Linked DNA regions of Macaca mulatta. The protein of the gene in region 1 interacts with the protein of each later gene in a pairwise test. Links are inferred from orthologs where the notes say so. Each region holds a gene or a part of one and is shown in the gene's direction. Other genes may lie near its edges.

Region 1 (5,853 bases):
TCTCAGCTAACTGCAACCTCTACCTCCCAGGTAGAAACGATTCTCATTTGGGATTATAGGCAATGGGCCACCACACCCGGCTAATTTTTGTATTTTTAGTAGAGCCGGGGTTTCACCATGTTGGCCAGGCTGCTCTCAAACTCCTGACCTCAGGTGATCCACCCACCTTGGCCTCCCAAAGTGCTGGGATTACAGGCGTGAGCCACTGTGCTTGGCTTGTTATTTGTATTCTATTGTGTGGCCCTACCTCGTCTTTCCAGAGCTCAGAAAGGGAAAGTGCGGATGCTTCCAGCAGGTGCTGGAAGAAACTCCTGTGGGGTTAAACACAACGCCAAGAACAAACCTCAGACTTGGCCTCCAGTCCTTTCTCGAGTCCATGCCAGTCTGTCTGTTAGGATGGCCCAGGGTTCTCTGAGTCCAAGTCTGACATGGATGGGGTCTCCCTTCCTGCTATGGTCCTGCTGAAGTCAAGGTCAGGATCCCTCTGCCTCCTCAGCTGGGGACTTCCCCAGCTGGCCCAGCATTTGCCTTTGGCCTGAGAGTTTCTTGTCCTCTAGTGTCTTCTGGGTGCAGGTGGGTCGATGGCAGGGACTTGTTGCCGTGTGGTCTACTAATTGCCCAGCAGTCCTATGCCAAATGCATCCTGGCCCAGAAGGGCCCTGGCTGCTGGCACTCAGAATCCCTTTATCCCCTCCCTTATCCACACAACATTTATTGTGGCTTCTGGGGCTTGCTCTGGGCTGGCCACGAGGTGAGAGGGATAAGCAGGATAGGCCCAGAATTGGTCCTTGGGGAGCAGTAAGGAGGTCATGTCAGGGCAGCAGCGTGACCCAAATCCAGAGCTGGCTGCTGGAAACCCCCTCCTCAGAGCCTGCCCAGGATAGACCCTGTCAGAGGAGAGTGTGGGGTTGCTGGAGCCCAGTGGTCTAAAGTCCTGGTTCTGGTTCTGGACAGCAGCCCTGGTGCCAGGCCTCAGGGAAGGCTGTTTTGTGGGAAACCGGGTCGGCCCTGCCTCCTGCCTGCTTCCCTGCACTCTCCTCCTCCTTGGCCTCCAGGACGGCTTTCAAGAGGGGGTTGGGGTGTGTGGGCTCTCTTCCTCTAGGCAAAAGCAGGGGGCAGACAGGTGGACCATGCTGGAAAAGGGGAGAATGTGTACCCTTACCTGAGCAGGGTGGTTATGAGCTCTCAGGCCCCCCAAATTGCTGATGGAGCAGCCCCTGTTTCCCTGGCTCAGGGTCCCTTGGCCTGGACTCCGAATGTCGCCTCCTGGGACCTCCATTCCAGACACCCCAGCAACCGTTCTCTGGAGAAGTGAGGGGGAAGGGAGGGGCTGGGACCAAGGTGAGGGAGCAGGCCCCACCCCTTCACTTTTTCATGCTAGTGTCCCAGTGTGTATGTCCGGCCTTCTGGGCGGCTCCTCCTGGCCAGGCAGCCTTTGTGACATGTGTGGCTGATGGAGACTGGGCAGGAGGGATCTGGCAGCATCTCTTCCTGAGGGTGTGAGGAATGAGTCCTGTGGAGGGCAGCACATGAGCCCTCGGCCTCCATGTGGGCCCCAGTCCCCTCCTGCTGTCAGGCTAGGTGGGCCTTCGAGGGAGAGAGGCTGCGTTCATTATGTGCACTCTTCTGTGTTATGTGAGAGCGAGGGGTCGCCAGCAGCAAGTGGCCTGCGTGCGCGAGGTGCGGGCGTGGTGCGGGTACAGAATGAAGGCGTCAGTACAGGGCGCGGGTGTGTGTGCGGGGTGCGGGGTGCGGGGGCGGGCGCGCGTGTGTGTGCAGGTGCAGGTGCAGGTGCGTTGCGGGTGCGGGCCACGGGTGTGTGTGCAGGGCGCGTGTGCAGATGCAGGGCGCGGGTTCCGTGCGGGTGCGGGTGCAGGAGCAGCGTGTGCAGGGCGCGGGGAAGGCGCGTGCAGGGGGCGGCGGGCGGGCGGGGCGGGCGCGGCGGCGGCGGCGGTGACAGCGGCGCCCGCGCCTCCCCGCGCGTAGGTGTGCGGCGCGCTCCTGGCGAGGACGGAGCGAGCAGATCTCGCGTGCGCTCGCCGCCAGGCGCAGCCCAGCCCGGCCCCCGCCTGGCGCCGCGAGCCGAGGTGTCTCCCGCGCCCGCGCCCGTGTCGCCGCCGTGCCCGCGAGCGGGAGCCGGAGTCGCCGCCGCCCGAGCGCAGCCGAGCGCACGCCGAGCCCGTCCGCCGCCGCCATGGCCACCACGGTGACCTGCACCCGCTTCACCGACGAGTACCAGCTCTACGAGGATATTGGCAAGTAAGAGCCGCGGCACGCGCGGGCTGGGCCGGGGACCCCAGAGGGCCAGGACCTCCGGGACCCTCAGCGCCGCCGGCTCCGGGCGCACTGCGGCCCCGCGCGCTGCCGGCTTCTCTGGGCTCCGGGCCCAAGCGCACGGCCCCGCGCGGCCCCGACCCCCGAGCCCCAGGCCCCGGGCCCGGTCGCCGGACCTCAGCGCGCGCGGCCCTCTCCAGCTCTGCCCAGCGCGGCTGCCGGGCCGGGGCTCTGGGCTCGCGACTTGGCGCGGCGGGGGCGGCAGCAGGTGTCCCCGGAGCTCCCGGCAGACGTGACGCATTTGGCGGCGGGGAGGTCAGAGAGGAGGGGCGCGCGGGGGCGGCCGCCGGGCCTGGAGCGCCAGGAGGGGTCGGCTGCGGCCCCAGAGGGTCGTCCCCCGACGCGGGCACGCTGTCCCCACCCCCACCCGAGCGGCAGGCGGCGGGGGTGGCGGGACCTGCTTGCGCCTGCTCCTGCGCGTGGCCCCATCCGCGCGGGGGGTGCCGGCGTGGGAGAGCCTCTGCTGTAGGTCTCCTGGGGAATCTGGGTTCTGGAGGATTTTCCCCCAGATTCTTCTGGAAACAGGAATTTGGAGGTGTGGGGAGGACGAGGTCAGGGAGCCTGGATCAGGTCATGGGGATAGGGGGGAGAGATTAAGATCCTGATTGGGTTGCAAATTTCAGGGTCATCGAGGTGGGTGGGGGCTGGATTTTGGACCGTTGGCGGGGGCACTCTAAAGGGGAAGGGGCTTTGAAGGTTTGTTTGAAGTGGGACCTCACGGGGAACAGGTGCTGTGGCTCCCGTTCTCTGCTCAGCAGTATGAGCAGTGTGGGGCGAAGGTCTGGTTTGGGTCCCCCAGACCCGGCTTTGCCACTGGGGTCAGAGATGGGGAACGCCTCAGGGGCCTCCTGTCTGGCCTGGGGTCTCCCGTCTGAGAATCAAGGTGGCTGCACCTGGCATCCCCAGGGCTAGCTTCAGAACTCCCGAATCTCCAGCCTGACTGGGCCAGAGCCCCATCCTCCTCCGTCCTCCCCCATCCTCCTCCGTCCCTTCAGTGCAGGCGGTGGGGGCGCTGGCGGTGCTGGCGAGATTTCCTCTTACACATCCAGCACTGATTCTTTTTTTCCTTTACTAAATAAGTGTCTGGTGAAACCTTGTGGTGGGTGAGGGACGCTGATCATTGATAATTGTGGAGTGCGGAGCTGGAGGAGTGTGGGGGTGTGTTCATTCCCCACTTCTCCCTGCACGTGTGGAGAGGATTTGGGTAGGGGGTGGAGATGTGGCGCTCAGCCCTGTGCAAGAAGCCCATGCTGGATCGGTGGGGTGAGGGGCCAGGCCGGCTGGGGGACCCTTCCTTGGATGGGTCTGGAGAGCACCCCAGAGCTGAGACCTCGAGGGAGGGGTCAGGCCCAGCCCCCTTCATGGGGATCCCTAAGTGGGTGGCTGGCTCCCCCGTCTTCACCCCTCAGATGCACAGATCTACCCCTGCCTGTCCTCTTGGCCTCCAGAGGTGTCCTGGCCGCTGGAAGGGCAGGTGGGTAGCAGTTAATGTGCCTGGTTCTCAGAGGAAGAGAGCGGCAGTGGGAAGTCAGTCTTTCCTCAGGGGCCTTCTTGTCGTCTTCTCTGCTTGTGCCCAGAAGCACAGAGGCCCTCACAGCAGGTGTCCCTGGTCTTCCCCAAAGAAGCCACTTTCAAGACGTTCCCATGTACCCCAGTGTCCTCAGCCTGCAGCTCACTCTGGCTGTTCCTTCTCCCCTTTGCTGCGAGCCTCCCTGCATCCAGTGGCAGTGTCAGGGTGGCCAGCTCCCCACTGAGCCTCCAGTTCCAGCACAGCTGGATGTCCTGGCCAGTGCCACCCACACTGGGGAGTGAAGGTCTTTGGGGCTGCCTGGGGGAGGTTGAGAGAGGTGGCTCCAGAGGTGGAGACCAGGTGGGGCTAAGACTGCTGGGTTTCTCTCTGAAGCCGGAGAATGAGCCGCTGCTGGAAGGGAGTGTGGCCTCCTGAGCGAAAGCACTGGGAGCCATGCAGTGCGAGGTGAGGAGTGGAGCCTGGGATCAAGGGGAGCCCCGTGACCTGGGACAAGAGGAGATGCCCAAGCCAGGAGCTGGCAGCTCAGCGCAGTGCACCTTCCTGGAGCCCTGCTAGGCGCCGGGTCCCTGGGGACGCCAAAGGCCTGCCACTGCCATGCTGTGGCGGCTCTGGGGTAGGGAAGGGACTGATTCCTAGGGGGTGCAGCCGTGCCATAGAGGTGGGTCAGGGAGCGGGGAGGGCAGAGCAGGGCACCCAAGGGGGATGTCTGAGGCCAGGGCTCAGTTGTGGGCACTCAGCCCTTTTGTAGCGCTGGGGTCCCTTGGTTGATACGTTGGCTGGTTGTTGACAGTGCCTGCCCGGGGCACAGTTGGTGTTGCTTCCTGGCCTCAGGTGGACATGTCCAAGTTTATTTAAAGCTGCAGCCACTGGCACCCAGTCAGGTCTCACTGAGCTCCCTGCCCAAAGGAAGGACTTGGCCTCAGGCCCACAGCTGCTCATGTGTGACGAGGCCACTGGCCTTTCCCCTCCCTTGCCCCATCCTTTTCTGCTGTCTCTGCTCCCGAATCTTCCCCGGAGGCCTGGGCAGCAGGGTCAGCCAGCCAAGAGGAGCCGCTTTCTGGGGCCCTGCCCTGCCCAGTTCTATAGAGAGTGTGTGCCCTTCCCTGCTCAGCCTGACACTTCTCACAGACACTAGCCTGGTGGCCCATGTGGGAGCAGTTACAGAGCAAGGCAGGGAAGCCCTCAGCCTGGCATGGCCCAGCCAACAGTGCAGTTTTAATTTTTTTATATTCGATAAACTTTAAAGATCCAGAAAAATCCCAGGAATAATAAAATGAACATAGTATCTCTTCTACCCAGAATTGAAAATGGTTAATCTTTTGTCATTTTGGCTTTAAGTCCTTTTTTACAAAAAATTATAAGAAGTATTCCAAAGAAATATTAAGTAACCCATTTTCTTCCAACTACTGCTTTCGTCTTTTTCCTCCCAGGCTCTTTTGGGTACATTTACACATGGATATAAGTATCCATAACTAATATAGAGGATTCTTTTGTGTGGGTGTTTTTCTTAACTTTACGTAAAAAACCTGGAACTTGTACTTTTCACTCAGCAGTCTTGTTGGCACCTGTGCTTGTTGATGTGTTTAATTGCGGGCTCCTGCATGGCGACCTGTAGTGTGAACTCTGTCCTGCCTGCCCCTCTCCCAACAGAAATCTAGGTTGTCTCCTGTGTTCCATTGTCACCCAGCACACTGTGGCCAGCACCGTCACGGCCAGGGCCCTGAGTGCGTCTGGGGTGCAGGTGTGAGAGTTTCTTTAAGGTGTGTCCCTGGCAGTGGGGCTGCCGAGGAGGGTCCGCCTGTCTCTCTGTAGGTGCCGCCACTCTCCCTGCTGTGTCCACTCGCACAGCAGTGTGGGGGCCGCCCCTTCCCCTGGATGCTGCCATTCGTAGGGTTGGTAGGTTGTCAGTGTTGACAGGTTGTCAGTGTCGACCGTTTGTCGGGTAGGAAGAGGTCTCACATTTTGCATTCATCCTCATGAATCTTCCA
Region 2 (5,931 bases), on another chromosome or scaffold:
CTACCTGGAAGGCCGGCTGCCCGCTGCCTGAGAACACTGTGGTCAGTCCCTTGCTTTGTGGCGTAGGCTTCAGGCTCTTGCCAGCCTTAATCTCAGCCAGTAGCTCCGAGTTGTCGCCCGTCGGGGACATCATGTTGAAAGACTTGGTGCCTATGCAGAGGCAGGAGATGAGGCACTGGCCAGGGTGGGGCTGCATCCCTGCCACCCCTCACCCGCCCCTCTGCAGCCCCCTTCCCAAGCCAAGATTGGCTGGGTGCCCATCCTCGGCCCCAGCAGGCAGCTCTCCAGATCCCAGGTCCCACAGGCTGCTTTCAGGGCCCCCAGAGGCGGGCCCTTGGTTCCCCGACTGTGACAACCCCACTATCCTCCCCACCCTACTCACGGGGTGGAGGGCCCCCGCCTGGAGGACCCTGGGAGTTCATGGTGGCTCTTGGGCATATGTCCCCGCCCAGCCACTGACTGCCCAGCTCCAAAACAATACCTGGAATCAGCCACCCGACCTTTGTCCCAGGTTCCCTGGCTCAGCCCGGCTGGGGTGGAGCCTCCCTCTGGCCCTCTCCCTACATCAGCAAAGCCTCAGTGACCCTTGAACTGAGTCAATTGGGGCCTCCATGGACATACAGAGTCCGGACCCTGGAGTGTCTGTACCCACCTGGTCCCCTCCCTCCCCACCACACCCACAGACAGACGCACAAGCAGACACATTGTTTGCAAGCCGGGAGCACATTTATGGCAAAGCGAGGCTCAGCTCTAGGGGCCCAGGAAAGCAGGGCCCTTACTGAGGCTACGGCAGGCACCCAGGAAGAAGGGCAGGTGGGTAATATGCAAATACACAGGGCAGAGGGTGCATTTTCCGGCTTAGCCGGAGGAGGCAAATGGAGATTTGGAGAGAGGTCTCTTGAGCCCCGATGAAGGGGTCAGGTCCGGGAGGGAGGAACAAAATGGGCTGATAGCTCTTGGATTCCCAGACTGGGGATCCCAGAGTACAGTCACAGGGAAGAAAAAGAGGAGAAAGGGAGAATCGGTGTGGCTGGCTCATTTATTTAGGCAAAACCACCAGCCAGGCGCAGAATGCTTAGGTGCGTATGTGGGTATGAGGGTAGGTATGAGGTGCAAGGGCCCACCCATGCATCGAGTTTCTCTCGCCTGCCAGCCCCTGCCCTTTCCTCGAGTCTGGGCCCCTCCTGCCTTGCTTTTCCTGCCTCTTCCCCCCACCCCCCGCCTCAGCCTCAGCCAGGAGCCACGCGCGCAGCTACTCACTCTTCCTGTGCCTCAGGACTCTCACTTCTAGGGACCAAGAGGAGAGAAGTGACAGTGGAGTTAGGAGGGAGAGGGGACCAGGATGAGACTGGGACAGCAGGGGACAGGGAGCGGGCCAGGGAGAGCGGGGGGAGGGGGAGTGGAGAAGAGAGGAGGAGCTTTTCTGCCCGTCTGGCTCTGGCCCCGGCTGCTCTGGGGCCTCATGAGGGTGGTCCATCGAGTTCCCGGCTTGGCTGGTGCCCCTGAGGGCTGGACAGGGCCACCACTGGCTCTAGCCCCTAGCAAGGGCCTCCACCTTGGCACTGGGTTGTGGTAGGGCACCCAGCCCTGGCTGTGCTGGGTGGGGGTGTCTGGGGAAGTCCAGAGTATTTTTCTCTGCCCTTAGCTTCAGCCCTGCTGCAGGCTGTGGAGGGAAGGAGGAGGAGGCTTGGCAGGTGCTGGACATGCTTCCATGGGCTCTGGTCTGCAGGGGCTGGGGCTCCACAGGAACCATAGGGGGACAAGCTCTGCTCTGCACTCCTAATCAGGGAGACAAAGCTTTGGAGGGTGCCACTAAGCATGATCTCTGCCCTGAGTGGCTGGGTGAGGAAGGCATCCCAGCCAGGCTGAGATGGGAGCACCACATCTAGACACCCTGTCCTGGGCCTTCTAGGTATCCTGGCAGGGGGACACTGTCCCACCCTACAGAAAAGCAGCCCAGGAATCCTGCACCAGTCTAGCTCTTAAAAAAGGATGCCTAGGGAAGTCACCGGGGAGGGAGGGGAAAACATTGCCCCCATAGCCAGGCCCCGGGTGGCCCAGGGCCCCTGGCAGGAACTGGCTAGGAAGAGTTGCTGGCATATCTAAGAAGGCTTCAGGTCTGTGCTGCTTGGAAGGACAAGAGAAAGACATGGAGAGAGGAAGAGAGGCTCAGGATAGAGGGGGGCAGGGGGAAGAGTGGCCAGCTGCGGGGCCTCTCTGAAGCTGGTTCTACTTCAAGTGTTCCTCCAGCACCAGCTCATTGGAAACGCCAGCGCCAGAGCTGGGAGACCCTTTCTAGCCGGTGGGAGGCAGGCCCAGAGAGGGGAGGGGACTTGCCCAGGCCACACAGCTAGGGGGTGGGAGGCAGGCCCAGACTGGGGAGGGGACTTGCCCCAGGAGCACAGCCCGGTCCTGCTTTGGCAGGACCTCCAGCAACCCAGAGCCCTCTCTTAGGGTCAAGTACTCAATGGGGTAGGGGTGGCCGGAAGAGCATGTAGAAGAGGAAGGACCCGGGCAGTGACAGCTGGGGAGGGGGTGGTGTCTAGATTTCCCTCCCCTTTCAGGGCTAGCGCCGCCCCCCACCCCTCAACCTGCTCCTACTCACTGCCGGTGGATGAAGAGGAGCGGCGCTGCCCGCAGCCAGGGCCAGCGCCCTCAAGGGGCAGAGGCGGGGCCGGTGGCAGCGAACTCGCGGCCTCGGGCAGGGGCGGCGGTGGCGGCGGGGGCGGCGGTGGCAGCTCCCTGGACGCCTTGGGGTCCGCGGCACAGCCGTTAGGCACGTGGTTCCCTGGGAGCAGCGCCGCCTGCGGGGGAGCAGAGGGGCCTTCGAGTGAGCCGCGGACGGCAGGGCCAAGGCGCGGGCAGCCGGCGGGCGCGGGCTGGCAGGCACGCACCTCCTCGCTGTGCGCCATGCCTGGACGTGCGGCCAGCGTCTCGCCCGGGCAGCGGCCCAGCTGCCGGTAGTAGTCCCCCGTGCTGGGCTGCTTGCTGAAGGCGCGGGGCTTGCGGCCGGAGTCCTGCCTCCGCAGCCCGTCGTGGCCGTCGCAGGAGCTTGGCTGCAGGAAGACAGTGACCGGTGGGGCTCGGGCACCTGCCGGGTAGGCGCCCCCCACGCCTCCCCACCCAGCCGTTCACCTCCTGGGGGGACTCGCGGCCAGCGGCCGTCGAGGGGTGCAGCAGCCGTCTTCCTACATCCCCTGTTCTCAGGGCGGGCACGGGGAGAGGGTCATGGGGGTGTCGGTGGAAGGGCAGGCTCCGCCCGCCTTACAGGGAGGGGTTCTGGGCACCGGCCAAGGGGCACAGGGGCCCCCACTGAGGCCAGAAGGGGCGGGCCCAGGGGCGGGGTGGCCCAGCCCCGACGCCAGGGGGAGCTGGAGAAGGGGCACCTCCCGGTTTAGCCCTCACTAGGCCCTTGGCCGCACCCCGCTCTCGGCTGTCAGACGGACTGCGGGTCCCCAGGGCTCCGCGGAGCCCAGTCTTTCGGGGTCCCGGCCGGAGGGAGCCCCCTCCAGAGCCTGTGCTCTCCGAGGCTCCGGCTTGTCCCGGACCCCGGTTGCCCATCCGGGGGCTGCTCCTACCTGCCACGGTGCTGGTGGCCCCCGCTGTGCACCTGGCGGCGGGGGTGGCAGGACCCGACACCTGCGTTACCTGATACTTCCTCTCAGGTTACAGCCGCCCGCACACGGCCAGCCTATGGGCTCCGACGGCCTGACATCACCCGGGGCCCGCCAATCCCAGGCCGAACCCCCCAGCCGTGGCGGATACCACGGGGGTGCCAACTACCTTGCCACACCTGGCCGCAGCTCTGCACCCGCCCCAGGCCAGATGTGACCCCGCCCCCTGCGCCTCTCCCTAAGCTGGGAGCTGAGCCCCCACCTTCATCCTGGGCAGAGGGGGCCTCTCATATTTGGCCCCCGGCTCCGGGTCGCGTCCCCCTGCTTCCCCTCCTGCATCTGGAAACCATCCCCATCCGAAAGCGACACCGACACCCGCGCTCAAGCCTCGGGTTTCAGGGGCCGTAAGGCGGGGTCGGGTGACAGCGTGGCTTCCCGCCCCGTCGCAGCTGCCCCCAAATAGGCCCAGCTCAGTGAGGGAGAGTGAGGCGGCCCGGCCAAACGCTGAGTGACGGAGTGGGGGCTGTCCCCTGCCCCACTCTCCAGCCCCTGCGTCCCTGAGGTGGCCTCAGACCCTTCACCCCGCCCGACCTGGCTCACGTTGCAGGAAACGCGACACCGCAGGATTTGTTTTCTGGGCCAGCCCGCCCGCTCCGCGCCCCCTGCAGCCCAGAGGCTCGGACGCCACGACCCTGCTCCCGCCCTCGGTCAGGCACCCGCGCGGGGGGCGCCGCGGCCACACAAAGAGCCCTTTGTGGAGTGTCCGGGTCCCGGCCCTGGAGCCTGCGGCCCAGCACGCACACAGCCGGGAGGGACGCACACAGCCGGGAGGGGCGCACCAGCCGGGAGGGGGCTCACAGCCGGGAGGGGCACACACAGCCGGGAGGGGCGCACTGAGCCGGGAGGGAGGCACACACCCGGGACGGGCTCACACGGCCAGGAGGGGACCACGCAGACCTGGCACTTGGGCTCACCGGTGGAGAGGGGACACTGGCTGGGCCACCTGTCCTGTGGCTTTGGGCGGGGCCCACAGGCTGGGCTGGGAGCTCAGCGATTCCAGGGCCCCTGCAGCCCTAGCTGGCCGGCCCCCTCTGCCTCCCAGAGATGAAAGGGGAAGCTACTGTGGGAGCTTGGTCTAAGGTAGCATGAAGAGGGCAGCCACTGGAACTGGCCTGCAGGTTTGGTGTCCCTCCCATGCCTCCCTTGCCCAGTGGCCTTGTGACCTGGGTCACCTTGTATAAACTGGCCCTGGGATGGCTTGCCTTGGGCTTAAGAGAGAAATGCAAGGTCCCAGGCTCCAGCAGGACCCCAGAGCGCTGCCACACCACATCTGGCCACCTGTGACCTCAGGCTGTCCCCTCACCTCTCAGGCCATCCTTGCTCTGTTCCTGTGGCCAGAATGCCAGTGTTCCCCAGGTCACCCTGCCCAAGATTCCCAGAATTGCTCAGACCAGACCTCTGCCCCCACTCCTGCTCCAGAGCCTCAGCCAGGGGCCTGCAGCCCCCAGACATCCCTAGGTGCCTCACACTCCACCTGCCTGCCCTGGCCTCATCCTCTCCACACAGGCTCTGCTTCCCTCCAGGGCTCCCAGCTCAGGCCTGGCCCTTTCCCCCAGGATCTCGAGCCCTAAACTGGAACTAGCCACAGCTTCACTTCCTCCCAGCCCCCACTGCCGGTGGGCACCCAGCCCTGCTAGTGCCTGCTCACCTTCCCCCCACACTCCTTCCAGCCCTCACCTCCACAGCCATGCCACTGGCACCTTCCACCTGGCAGCCACCTCCCTTGGGTAACACTCTCTGACAGCCTGGGGCTGTGGGGGTGGTGGGGGCATGCTTGGGGAGGGGCAGTCTCCATGAATTCTCTGTCAACTTCATGACAACCCAGCCACTCTGTGCAAGAGGTGGCACAGGCCCAGTTCCTGGTGAGGCACAGCTGTCTGGACCTGCGTCCTTCACTCCCCGGCTCCCATGGAGGGCGGTGACCTGCTCTTACTCTCCTCCCAGTCCAGTGTCCACCCCTGACCCCTCATGGGACTCGCCAGGAGCTTTGACTCTTGAACATGCCATGGACCTAGGGACCCCCACCCTATGCCCACTAGTGAGGCCAGGCCTTTGGCCTCACTGGCTCCCATCGGCCTAGTCCCCCTGCCGGGAGGCAGGCAGGGGGTGAGGGCTCACTACCTCCTTCTTGAGGGCCTCCGTCTGCACGTGGCGGAGTTTGTTCTTCGTCTGCATGTAGATGTCAGCTGCCTGTGGTCCCACAGGAGGCTTGGGAGCTGGGTAGCCAGGTGGGGGTGGGGGCAGTTGGGTGCCTGGG
Region 3 (6,125 bases), on another chromosome or scaffold:
GCTTTGGGAAATTATTGTTCCCATTGGAAAGATAAGAAAGCTGAGGCCAAGAGAAGTTACAATACGCAACCTGGACCAGGTCATATATAGCAAATCAGTTCCAGAGCTTAGGTCTCCAGAACCCAGGTGTCGCTGCAAGGTGTGAATGGGCCACTCAGAACCTTTCCATCTGTCCTGGGTGGGGCATGCAGAATGCATAGGTCCTAGAGGTAAGGAACACTAGGCTCAGATCTACACCAGCCAGAAATCCCAGCTCCTCCTCTCATTCACCGTGTGACCTCCTTGAACCAGGCTCTGCACTTCAGCCTCAGTTTTAAAAATCTGTGTAATAGGTACTATCATGGTACTCAACACTGCGAGGAGTAAGATAAAATATGTAAAGTGTTCAGCACAGAGCCACAAAGGGGACCTTGCCTCTCTAATATACTTCCAACAGAGTAAAACAGCTCAAGACCCTATGAATATGGTCAGAATAAAAATGGAGTCACTAATGTTAAGAAAACCTTGACAAATAGAGCTGGGGAAGGCCATAGAGGATTTTCTTTTTTTTCTTTTTTTTTTTTTTTTGAGACGGAGTCTCGCTCTGTCGCCCAGGCTGGAGTGCAGTGGCGCGATCTCGGCTCACTGCAAGCTCCGCCTCCTGGGTTTATGCCATTCTCCTGCCTCAGCCTCCTGAGTAGCTGGGACTACAGGCGCCCGCCACCGCGCCCGGCTAATTTTTTGTATTTTTAGTGAGACGGGGTTTCACCGTGGTCTCGATCTCCTGACCTTGTGATCCGCCCGCCTCGGCCTCCCAAAGTGCTGGGATTACAGGCGTGAGCCACCGCGCCCGGCCCCCATAGAGGATTTTCATGCTTGCAAAACAAATAAGACTGATGACAAAACAGATAATAACAAAGACTGATTACACAAAAGACTACAAAAATCACAACCTTGCACAAAGGCCATCGAAACCTTGCACAAAAAATACTTCCACAAGGACATCTGCCCAGCAACTGCCTGTCCAACTTTAGACTGGCGTCATGCTTGCTCTTGATCTTGGTAGTCAAGGATAATTAGTTCAAAAACAATAACATAATCCTTATTTTTTTCTTTTAAAAATTTTTGTCTTCCCCCACCTCCCTGAAAGTGCACATCACTTACTATGGCATATAGGTAATTCCCACTGCAATGCTTAATTCCTAAATGAAATTTCTTTTTTTTTTTTTTTTGAGACAGAATCTCGCTCTGTCGCCCAGGCTGGAGTGCAGTGACCAGATCTCAGCTCACTGCAAGCTCCGCCTCCCAGGTTTACGCCATTCTCCTGCCTCAGCCTCCCAAGTAGCTGGGACTAGAGGTGCCCGCCACCTCGCCCGGCTAGTTTTTTGTATTTTTTTTTAGTAGAGACGGGGTTTCACCGTGTTAGCCAGGATGGTCTCGATCTCCTGACCTCATGATCCGCCCGTCTCGGCCTCCCAAAGTGCTGGGATTACAGGATTGAGCCACCGCGCCCGGCCCCTAAGTGAAATTTCTTTTAGAGAGTCTCTGTTTGTTCTTTAAGTTGACAACTGCTAGGCAGGTAAACAGTTAATATTTACTGAGCACTTTTTAAAAAAAAATTTTTTTGAGATGGAGTCTTGCTCTTTTTGAGATGGAGTCTCAGCCAGTCACCAAGGCTGGAGTACAGTGCCGCGATCTCAGCTCACTGCAACCTCCACCTCCCAGGTTCAAGCAATTCTCCTGCCTCAGCCTCCCGAGCAGCTGGGATTACAGGTGTGTGCCACCATGCCTGGCTAATTTTTGTATTTTTAGTAGAGACGGGGTTTCACCATGTTGGCCAGGCTGGTCTCGAACTCCTGACCTCATGATCCGCCCGCCTCAGCCTCCCAAAGTGCTGGGATTACAGGCGTGAGCCACAGCGCCCGGCCTTACTGAGTACTTAATATGTGCCAGAAGTTCTTCTAGGTGCATTTAATCCCCACAAGGTCACTATGAGGTTAAACTAGTATTATGCTCATTTTAAAGATGGGAAAACTGAGGCACTGGTGGTTAAGAGACTTCCCAAAGGTCATAACCCTAGTAAGTGCCAAAGCCAGGATTCAAACTCAAGCAGCCTATCTTCAAAGCCCACGCATACTGCCTCCCTTCAGAGTAACGATTAATTTTTAAAAATCATAACTTGCTTGGCTACAATACTCTCTAAGACACTTTCCACCGACTCTTTCATTTCTCACCACAGCAGCCTAGGGAGGGAGGCAGTGTTTACTTCCAACTATGGAGGGCAGGGGAAACAGGCTGTGAAAGGGGGAACCGACTTGCCTTGCCAAGGTCACACAACAAGGTCAGTGGCAGAAGTAGGGCTGGAACTTGGAATTTTCCAAACTAGGACTTCAAATGTAGGGGGCCCTTCCCCAGCCTTGGCCAGTTCCCAAGCTCCCCCAATAACATGTCTTCTGGCTAGAGGCCTTGAGCCTCCCTCCTCAGGTCAGCTCTGCCTGGGCTTCCACCCTTCAGCTGCAGGGTCCCAAGGCTGTGTCCTCCACACCCCCTGCCCTCCCCGTCAGATGGGAGGGGCAGGAACTCCAGGGCTGGTGGAGTTTCCGACCAGGCAGGAAAAAGAACAAAGGAACTGGGTTGGGGGGGTGGAGGGGATGGCCAGGAGGGTGGCAGAAGTAGACGGGACATTTCACCATGGAATATGAAGTCAAGAAAGGGAAGAAGGTAGGTAGGAGGTTGGGAGGGAGGCAGGGAATGTCCCCAAAGCTGGGGAAGGGGGCAACCTGGGGCAGGGTGGGGGGTCAGTAGCAAGGGGCATAAGTGGGGTCTTTCTTCTCATTTGGAAGTAACTTCCTTCCCACTCTTGGGCAGCCAGACATCCAGGCTCTCAACTCCCTGTTTCTCCACTCTCAGTGGCCTCTGGCATCCCTAACACGGACAGACAGGGATCTTCCCAGGAAACCTGGCCAGACAGACAGTTTGGGAGATTCTCCACACCTGCTTCCCTGCTGTTCCTGGTGGCTCTCTCCTGCAGCCTCTCAGACAGAGGGACAGACAGACACCCAGCAGATCCATTCTCCCGCTCGCCACTGCCCCAGACAGAAGGACCCAGTCAGGACAATTCTCATAGGAGGTTGCCTACCCAGGCTTGAGTCTCCCACCTGCTCCCCTGCCCCTCCCCACCTTTCTACAAGGGCCTATGTGTAAGGCGTCAGCCAGAAGCCATTCCCCCACCCCCAGACCCTCACCGCTTCTGACTCTGAAGTTTTCTGGTATGCTTCTCTGGGTGTCTCACCTGGTTGTCTTTGGAGTTTAGGGAGCTACTCTGATTTTAACTTCCATCTTACCCCCATTTCCATCCTCCCCTCTACCCTACCCCCACCAGAAACATGGGTCCAGGCTGTTCTAAAAGGTGCCCACATGAATCACACAGGGCTCAGAAGGGAGCCAAGACATACATGCATGTTTTCTCTTAGTTTGTTCTTTTAATAGGTATTTATTGAATGCCTATTATGCACCAGGCATTTCATTTCTTTTGTTAAAGCAATGAATAAATTAATGTAAAATTGCATAGAAGGGCTGGGTGCAGTGGCTCATGCCTGTAATTCTAGCACTTTGGGAGGCCGAGGCGGGAGATCACCTGAGGTCAGGGGTTTGAGACCAGCCAGGCCAATGGCGAAACCCCGTCTCTACTAAAAATACAAAAACTAGCTGGGCGTGGTGGTGCATGCCTGTAATCCCAGCTACTCAGGAGGCTGAGGCTTGAACCCAGGAGGCAAAGGTTGCAGTGAGCCAAGATCATGCCACCGCACTCCAGCCTTGGTGACAGAGTAAGACTCTGTCTAAAAAAAAAAAAAAAATTCATAGAAGGTCCCATGCTCAGTGCTGGAGGACAGAATATTAGGGTACCAAGCCCTACACTGATCAGTTTGAGTCGAGAGCTGACGGGTGGAAGGAAAGGGGGTAGGGAAGAACGTTTGAGGCAGAGGAACAGCATGTGCAAAAGCCTCACAGTGGGAAGGAACGTAGCAAGCCAGAAGGACTGAAAGAGGACTGTGTAGTGGGGGGCCAGGGGACAAGAGTGAGGCAGATGGGGCTGGACAGGTGGGCAGAGCTGAACCATTCAGGGCCACCAACAAAAATACCACCTCCCCACCCCTGACACACACACACACACGCAAGACAAAGTCCCAGCTCCATAGCTGGCATTCAAGATATGTTCATCTCATAATCTAGCCAGGGCAGACTGACTGTACACAGCTTCTCCAGGCTCACCCTCATCCAGCCTTTGAGGCATCCAGAATTTTGCACATGCTGTGCCCTCTGCTTGGCATGTGTTCTCCCAGATAGTTTCCTCTCATTCCTCAAAGTTTCTACATACCCCATCCTGGCTGCATGATATTGGTTCTAACATAAGCTGAGTACCCATAAGAATCACCTGAGGACTCATTAAAACACAGATCACTGGTCTTACCCCCAGTTTCTGGGCCAGTAGGCCTGGGATGGGGTTCAAGAAATTGCATTTCTGGCCAGGCACAGTGACTCATGCCTGTAATGGCAACACTTTGGGAGGCTGAGGCAGGAGGATTGCATGAGCCTAGGAGTTCAAGACCAGACTGGGCAACATAGTAAGACCCCATCTCTTTAAAAAATATATATATATATTAGCTAGGTGTGGTGGTGGTGCATGTCTGTGGTCCCAGCTACTGTGAGGCAGAGGTGGGAGGATCGCTGAGTCAGAAAGAATTTGCAATTCTAATAACCCACAGGTTATGCTTACGGTTGTGGGGCCACACTTTGAGAACCACTGGTTTAGATCCTGGCTACTCAAAGCGTGGTGCACAGACCAGTAGTATCAGCACCAGATGGGAGCTTGGTAGAAATGCAGTCTCAGGCTCCAACCCAACCCTACTGAATCAAAACTCCAGGGTACATAAAGTTGGAAACTCACTAGTCTAGGTCATTTATCACAAGCCCTGGAGGTACGGATAGGGACTAGGTCTCCACTGAATCCTCAGCACCCAGCACAGAGTCCAGCCATACAGGTGTGAATACATGTTTACTGAATGAATGAGTAAATGAACAGATGTATTTGTGGACTTGTGTTCTGTTTACCTGAAAAGAATGTGAGCTCTTTGAGGGCAGGGAGGTTGTCTTACTCATATTTGCCTCATTACAAGAGTTAAGTAATCACACCATACATTCACTCGGTGGTTTTCAGCTGAGCTGCATTTTGAAATTACCTAAGAAAGCTTTAAAAATCTTAATGGACTGAGCTCATTAACCCCAATGGCTCACACCTGTAATCCCTTGGCCTCTGGGAGGCCAAGGCAGAAGAATCGTTTGAGCTCAGGAGTTCAAGACCAGCCTAGGCAACACAGTGAGACCTCATCTCTACTAAAAATTTAAAAAATTATCAGGGCATGGTAGTACACACCTGTAGTCCCAACTACTTGGAAGGCTGAGGCAGACGGATCTCTTGAACCTAAGAGATCAAGGATGCGGTGAGCTATGATTGTGCCACTGCACTCCAACCTGGGCAACAGAGCAACACCCTATCTCAAAAAAATTAAAAAATTAAAAATTTTATGCCTGCGTCTCAGTCCCAGAATTTCTGATTCAGTTGGTCGGGAGTGTAACCTGGACATCTGAAGTTTTAGAAGGTCCCCGGGTAGTTTGTGTGTGTGTTGGGGGTGGGGGGAGGTTATCTGTTTTGTTTTTTTTTTGACAAGGTCTTACTCTGTCACCCAAGCTGGAGTGCGGTGTTGCAATTGCAGCTCACAGCAGCCTTGACCTCCCAGGCTCAGGTGATCCTCCCACCTTAGCCTCCCAAGTAGCTGGGATTACAGGTGCATACCACCACACCCGGCTAATTTTTTTGGTATATTTTCTGCAGAGACAGTTTCACCATGTTGCCAAGGCTGGTCTCGAACTCCTGGGCTCCAGCTATCCTCCCACCTCAGCCTCCCAAAGTGCTAGGATTACAGGTGTGAGCCACCGCACCTGGCCTTCCCCAGGTAGTTCTAAAGGATAGCCAGGGCTGGGAGCGACTGCTCTAAAGTGCAGTCTCACACTTGAGCATGCATCAGAATCACCCGGCGGGCTTGTTAAACCCTAATTGCTGGGCCCTGCTCCCCGAGTTTCTAATT
Region 4 (5,056 bases), on another chromosome or scaffold:
CCGACCAGATCCTGAAAGTGGACTTGGCACCATTTGGGCAGAGCAGTCCAGAGTTCCGACTATATGGAGCGTATACAGTCTAGAAGAGGGTCAGGCTCCAGCTGGGCCATCTACCTGACCGGAAGAGGGGCCCTGTCAGAGAAAAGCCAGAGGGTGGCTGTGGGCGGTGGTCCCTCTTGCTTGGGTTTAAGAGCCAGTCTGAACACACTGCCTCTAAATTCACCCAAGAAAGAATAACATACCGGAACATTCATGTGACAGGTAAGTATGGTCTAGTGCTTATGAGACTAGGCTCTGCAGGCAAATCCCTTGGTTGGAATCTTAGGTTGACCACTTTCTAGTTGTGGCATCGCAGACAAATTACTGATCATCTCATAGCCTCAGTTTCCTCATCTTTAAAATGGGTAAATAATTATTATTATGAGGAGTGACAGTACATGTAAAACGCTTCGCGGACATTACATATTGGGTGAATGTTGGCAGGGTTCTCTCCAGCTTACGCGAGTTTGCCTCTGAGAGGTTTTTCTGGAGAATTATATAAGCTTCATTACATCCAAGCACTCTGACAGTCAAGGTGAAAGTCTCCTCTCTCCACTAAACGATGGGGTGAGGCGCGGGTGTGGGCACCACCCACTCCACCCAAGGAATCAGGGGCAGCCCACGTCCCGCCCGGTTCGGTGCCCAAGGACTTCACGCTGCAGACGCGCTGAAGAAGCTTCGGCCAGGGGTTTGGAGGTTAACTAGCAAACGCAGTGTGAGTCACGGCGGCATTAGGAACTGAAACCAAGTGTTAGCCATGCCCAGGTTTACCCTCCAATGCTGACGGTGAAACCAGGGAGCAGTGACATCAGGACTGGGAGCCAGCGCTGACGCAGCTCCACCGCCTCCCTCCCCACCCCGCACCCGTGGCGCGCGCCGCCGCGCTCAGCCTGCAGACAGGTCTTGACATCCCTCCTCAGAGAGGAGCAAGGGAGTCGGAACAAGTCGGGGCATCTCCCTCGCACCTCCCGGGAGCGCCAGCCCAGCTAAGTCTAGCGATTGTCCGCCAGCCAGCGAAGACGCTTCCTCTGAGGCAAGCTTGGACACTCCCCTACCCCTCCGGGTGAAACGAATTCCAAGTGGCCCATTTCGGCTCCTCGGCCCCCTCCCACTCCCTGCAAAAAAACTTGGCAACTCTGAGGTTTCTTGCGGACCAAAACCTGTAATTAGCCCTTTGTGCTCCCTTTGAGGGGCAGTCGTGACTGGAAACCGAGGAGTCAGACTCTCTCGAAAACACCAACAAAGAACTATATTTAGTTCTGAGCTCTCAGCCTAAATGCCTCTTATTTTTTCACTTTTACTTCAAAACGCCTGGGTTGGGGAAGTGGGAGGCAGGGGGTGGGGAAGCAGCGGAGAAAGAACAGCTGTGCCTCCGCCTCTCCTCTCAATCTCTATAAATAACCAATCGCGAGCGGAGGCTACTTTTTAGCCAATGAAGCGCCCCAAACTGATAAAGCCTTGGCGGCAGCCAATCAACAACACTTAGGGGTGTGAGACTCGCGTCCCGAGACCAATGAGTGCGGAGTCTGGGAGAGGTAATTTGAGCTAGAGTGTGGGTGTGTGGTGCAAAAGCTTCCTACTTCCAAGCCCAAAAACCTGCTCTGCGACTGAGCATGCCCTGAACTAACTGCGGGCGCCCGGAGACTTCTGGATAGGGATGTAATCTCGTCTCCGGGTTTTGACCGCACCCGAGCGGGGAGGTGGGTACGACCCGCGGGACCCTGCCCCGAGAGAGCTGCAGGTACCAGAGGCTACCCCTTTCCTAGTCGGGACAGTATCTCAGGCTTGGAGTACCTCCTGTTTTCTTTGTGCAAGGCTGCAGTGCACAGAGTAGCGTTTCTGTGGCGAACGGTGTTGAAAAATCTATGGGGCCGGGATGCTCCGCCGGCTGCTCGTGCATTCCACGGCACCCACATGACTTCGGGTTTCCGGCCCCAGACACACGCCCGCCCGGGGCTGGGTGAATGGCGTCCTTGGGCCTTTGATAACGGGAGTTGGCAAGACCACAGCCTACTCTATCCTGAGGCGGCCCGCCGCACCCACATGCTTCTCGCAGAGCCGCCGCCCTTGTCCACCACTCCCACAGCTGTAAAAGAAAGCGGCCTGCATACTCCCTACACCGCTTTCCTCGCTCCAGTGTACGCACACACACCCCATCTACCAGCCAGTTCCTAACTCGCGCCACTCCCCAAACTGGACTCAAATCCGGAGCCCCGCCTACATCCCCGCCCCCTCCCGGCCCCGCGGAAAACCAGGAGCGGCCGCTTGGGTAAGGCGCGGCCGGAACGCACTGGGCATGCTCGCCGGGGAGGGGAGGGCCGGGCTGCGCGCGGCGAGTAGGAAGCCCTCGCCCAGTAGAGGCTGCGGGAGAGAGCGCGATGGGCCGCGGCGGTGGGCGCACGTTCCGCGGGGACTCATGCCACGCGCGTCCCGTCCCGACGCGCAATTAGCAGCCACCTCCGCAGCCCGCCGCCACCGCCTCCCCGCCCTCCCGGGCTGCCGCAGCTAGGAGCTCCAGCCATCGCCTCGCGCAGGCTGCGGGCATTGTCCTCCCGGTTCGCCGCCCGGGCTGCTGCTGCTGCCGCCGCGGACTGCTGCGGGGCCCCGACCCGCGCCCCAGGGACACGCCGCCGCCGCGGGCCGGCCCGGCGCCCGGCCCCCGCTCGGTGGTTTCCGCCCTGCGTTCTCTGGGCTACTCTCTCCTGGGTTTTTCCTGAGGAGCTGAGGAAGGGGAAGAGAAGTCCAGCCGCCAAGCCCAGCCTTCCCCGGCGCGCAGCCCCGACGGGGCCGCGGCAGGCGCGGCGAGAGCGCTGACGGAGCCATGAGAGAGTACAAAGTGGTGGTGCTGGGCTCGGGCGGCGTGGGCAAGTCCGCGCTCACCGTGCAGTTCGTGACGGGCTCCTTCATCGAGAAGTACGACCCGACCATCGAAGACTTCTACCGCAAGGAGATTGAGGTGGACTCGTCGCCGTCGGTGCTGGAGATCCTGGATACTGCGGGCACCGAGCAGTTCGCGTCCATGCGGGACCTGTATATCAAGAACGGTCAGGGCTTCATCCTGGTCTACAGCCTCGTCAACCAGCAGAGCTTCCAGGACATCAAGCCCATGCGGGACCAGATCATCCGCGTGAAGCGGTACGAGCGCGTGCCCATGATCCTGGTGGGCAACAAGGTGGACCTGGAGGGCGAGCGCGAGGTCTCGTACGGCGAGGGCAAGGCCCTGGCTGAGGAGTGGAGCTGCCCCTTCATGGAGACGTCGGCCAAAAACAAAGCCTCGGTAGACGAGCTGTTTGCCGAGATCGTTCGGCAGATGAACTACGCGGCGCAGCCCAACGGCGATGAGGGCTGCTGCTCGGCCTGCGTGATCCTCTGAGGCGGCCGCCGCGCGCCGGCCGCGCTCTGCGCACAAAAGCCAAACGCATCCGACTCTCTAAATGTGATTTCTTTCTTGCTTTGAGATTGGAGACCACTTTGCATTGGCCAGGGTGTCTTGGGAGCCCCGCTGGCCTCCGCGGCCGGCGTCCCCTGCCTCCACCCTGTACCCGAGGGGGTGTCCCGTCCTGCCCATCTGATACTCTGGTGGAAATGTGGTTCTTTGCAGCATGTACGTTTCTCCCTGATTTTGGTTGATGCATATTTCCCCGTTTAAGTAGCCGTTAGGGCGCAGTATCGGCAGCTTGACACCCACCAAGCAAAAGTTTCAGCCTGGAAAAAAAATGGGAGGGGGGAGGGGTGGAGGAAAAGGAGGGGGAGAAGGTGGAAATGGTTTTTCTTTCTTTTTTTTTTTTTTTTGGTCAACAACCGTTTTTCTAGTTCCAAGTTTTAAATACATGGAAGGAAGTCCGGGAGAACCATATGAAGGAGCAGGAGGAGAAGAAGAAACTTTTGTTTTTTTCCTTGTTTTCCAGGAGTAGCTGGAAGTTAAGATTGGGTTCCTTTTCTGCCAGCTTGGAAGGGCAACCCCATGACTGATTGCGATTCTGAGGATGTCTATGCAAAGTTGGATTCTTGTTACAGTGTATCCAATCTGAAGTATTGCACATCTGAACTGGGACTGTTAACACTGATGCCAATACAGTGTGGGGTGCCAGAAAGTGTCTGCTGATATTTGTGGAAAAAAAAAATCTATTTTGTTTACCTACTGTATCAAAGGGGAGTCTGGGGGAGAACGGTAGTATTTTTTTTTTTTTTATCAGCTGTGAAAAAAATGTTACAGATCTGCACATTTTCGTGTGTACTATGGTGTGTGTGTGTGTGTGTGTGTGGTGTGTGTGTGTTTTAAGTTTAGCCTTTTGTTTTTGTTTTTTGGTTGGCAGTAACCGATTTTAATGACTAGCTTTTTAAAATACAGTACAAAGACTTTGTAAATGTGATTCAGGGCCCCCAGCACCCCTGTGTCTGCAGAGTGCCTTCAAAACTCAGCTGTTCCAGCCGGTGCCAACCTGTGAACTTCCCACCATATCCCAGAATCTGCTATTCCCCAAACCACTTCCCAGTTTCCTTTCAATAATCTTTCAGAAGGAGCCAGGACAATAGGGCCTGTTGTTTAGTGAATTTCTTTATTATTTTCAGCCTTTAAAATGTAATTTCCATCTCTTGCAATGAATTTGTTTCCTTTTTTTTTTTTTTTTTTTGCTTCATTTTGCTTAAGTTTTCAGGTATTTAGCTCCCCTTTTATATTATTTTTAAATTTTTAAATTACCTGTTGTAGGGTGTTCCTCCAGAAGCAAAGAGCAAAATTTTACTGTTGCGATGTACCAATTCTAACTAATTGTAATTTTTAATTTCATGCGTTTAATCATTGTCTCTTCATTTTAAGACTTTTAATACAAATGTCATTTTTAAAGAAACCCAAAACTATTGTTTGTGTTTCTGTGTTTCATATTCAGTGATTTAATACAGTATCATGGCTGAGGTGGATGGGGTAGGTGCATGATACTCTCCCGAGCTATTTGTGAAATTTTAAAGACAGAAGTGTCTCAGTGACAAGATGGATGACACTACTCCCAACTTTTTA

The links.
Region 2: the proteins of CAMK2B (region 1) and ACOT7 interact in binary tests that used the Homo sapiens proteins (3 or more experiments, as listed by UniProt). The two-hybrid records come from large-scale screens. The link is inferred for Macaca mulatta from reciprocal best matches to the Homo sapiens genes CAMK2B and ACOT7.
Region 3: the proteins of CAMK2B (region 1) and CCM2L interact in binary tests that used the Homo sapiens proteins (3 or more experiments, as listed by UniProt). The two-hybrid records come from large-scale screens. The link is inferred for Macaca mulatta from reciprocal best matches to the Homo sapiens genes CAMK2B and CCM2L.
Region 4: the proteins of CAMK2B (region 1) and RAP2B interact in binary tests that used the Homo sapiens proteins (3 or more experiments, as listed by UniProt). The two-hybrid records come from large-scale screens. The link is inferred for Macaca mulatta from reciprocal best matches to the Homo sapiens genes CAMK2B and RAP2B.

Annotation. Positions count from the first base shown.
Region 1 is NC_133408.1:84,110,558-84,116,410, forward strand, and holds the start of CAMK2B (calcium/calmodulin-dependent protein kinase type II subunit beta), read left to right. Parts: upstream 1-2,021; 5' UTR 2,022-2,194; coding exon 2,195-2,259; intron 2,260-2,773; exon of another isoform or gene 2,774-2,869; intron 2,870-5,853. UniProt on the Homo sapiens protein: Calcium/calmodulin-dependent protein kinase that functions autonomously after Ca(2+)/calmodulin-binding and autophosphorylation, and is involved in dendritic spine and synapse formation, neuronal plasticity and regulation of sarcoplasmic reticulum Ca(2+) transport in skeletal muscle.
Region 2 is NC_133406.1:234,334,074-234,340,004, forward strand, and holds the start of ACOT7 (cytosolic acyl coenzyme A thioester hydrolase), read left to right. Parts: upstream 1-2,168; 5' UTR 2,169-2,185; intron 2,186-2,583; exon of another isoform or gene 2,584-2,605; coding exon of another isoform or gene 2,606-3,056; intron 3,057-3,135; exon of another isoform or gene 3,136-3,651; intron 3,652-5,795; coding exon of another isoform or gene 5,796-5,931. Other genes in the region: ESPN (espin), read right to left, coding at 1-150, 1,261-1,287, 2,606-2,804, 2,895-3,056, 5,796-5,931. UniProt on the Homo sapiens protein: Catalyzes the hydrolysis of acyl-CoAs into free fatty acids and coenzyme A (CoASH), regulating their respective intracellular levels.
Region 3 is NC_133415.1:84,831,163-84,837,287, forward strand, and holds the start of CCM2L (cerebral cavernous malformations 2 protein-like), read left to right. Parts: upstream 1-2,647; 5' UTR 2,648-2,670; coding exon 2,671-2,700; intron 2,701-6,125.
Region 4 is NC_133407.1:56,332,254-56,337,309, forward strand, and holds RAP2B (ras-related protein Rap-2b), read left to right. Parts: upstream 1-2,392; 5' UTR 2,393-2,860; coding exon 2,861-3,412; 3' UTR 3,413-3,739; downstream 3,740-5,056. UniProt on the Homo sapiens protein: Small GTP-binding protein which cycles between a GDP-bound inactive and a GTP-bound active form. Involved in EGFR and CHRM3 signaling pathways through stimulation of PLCE1.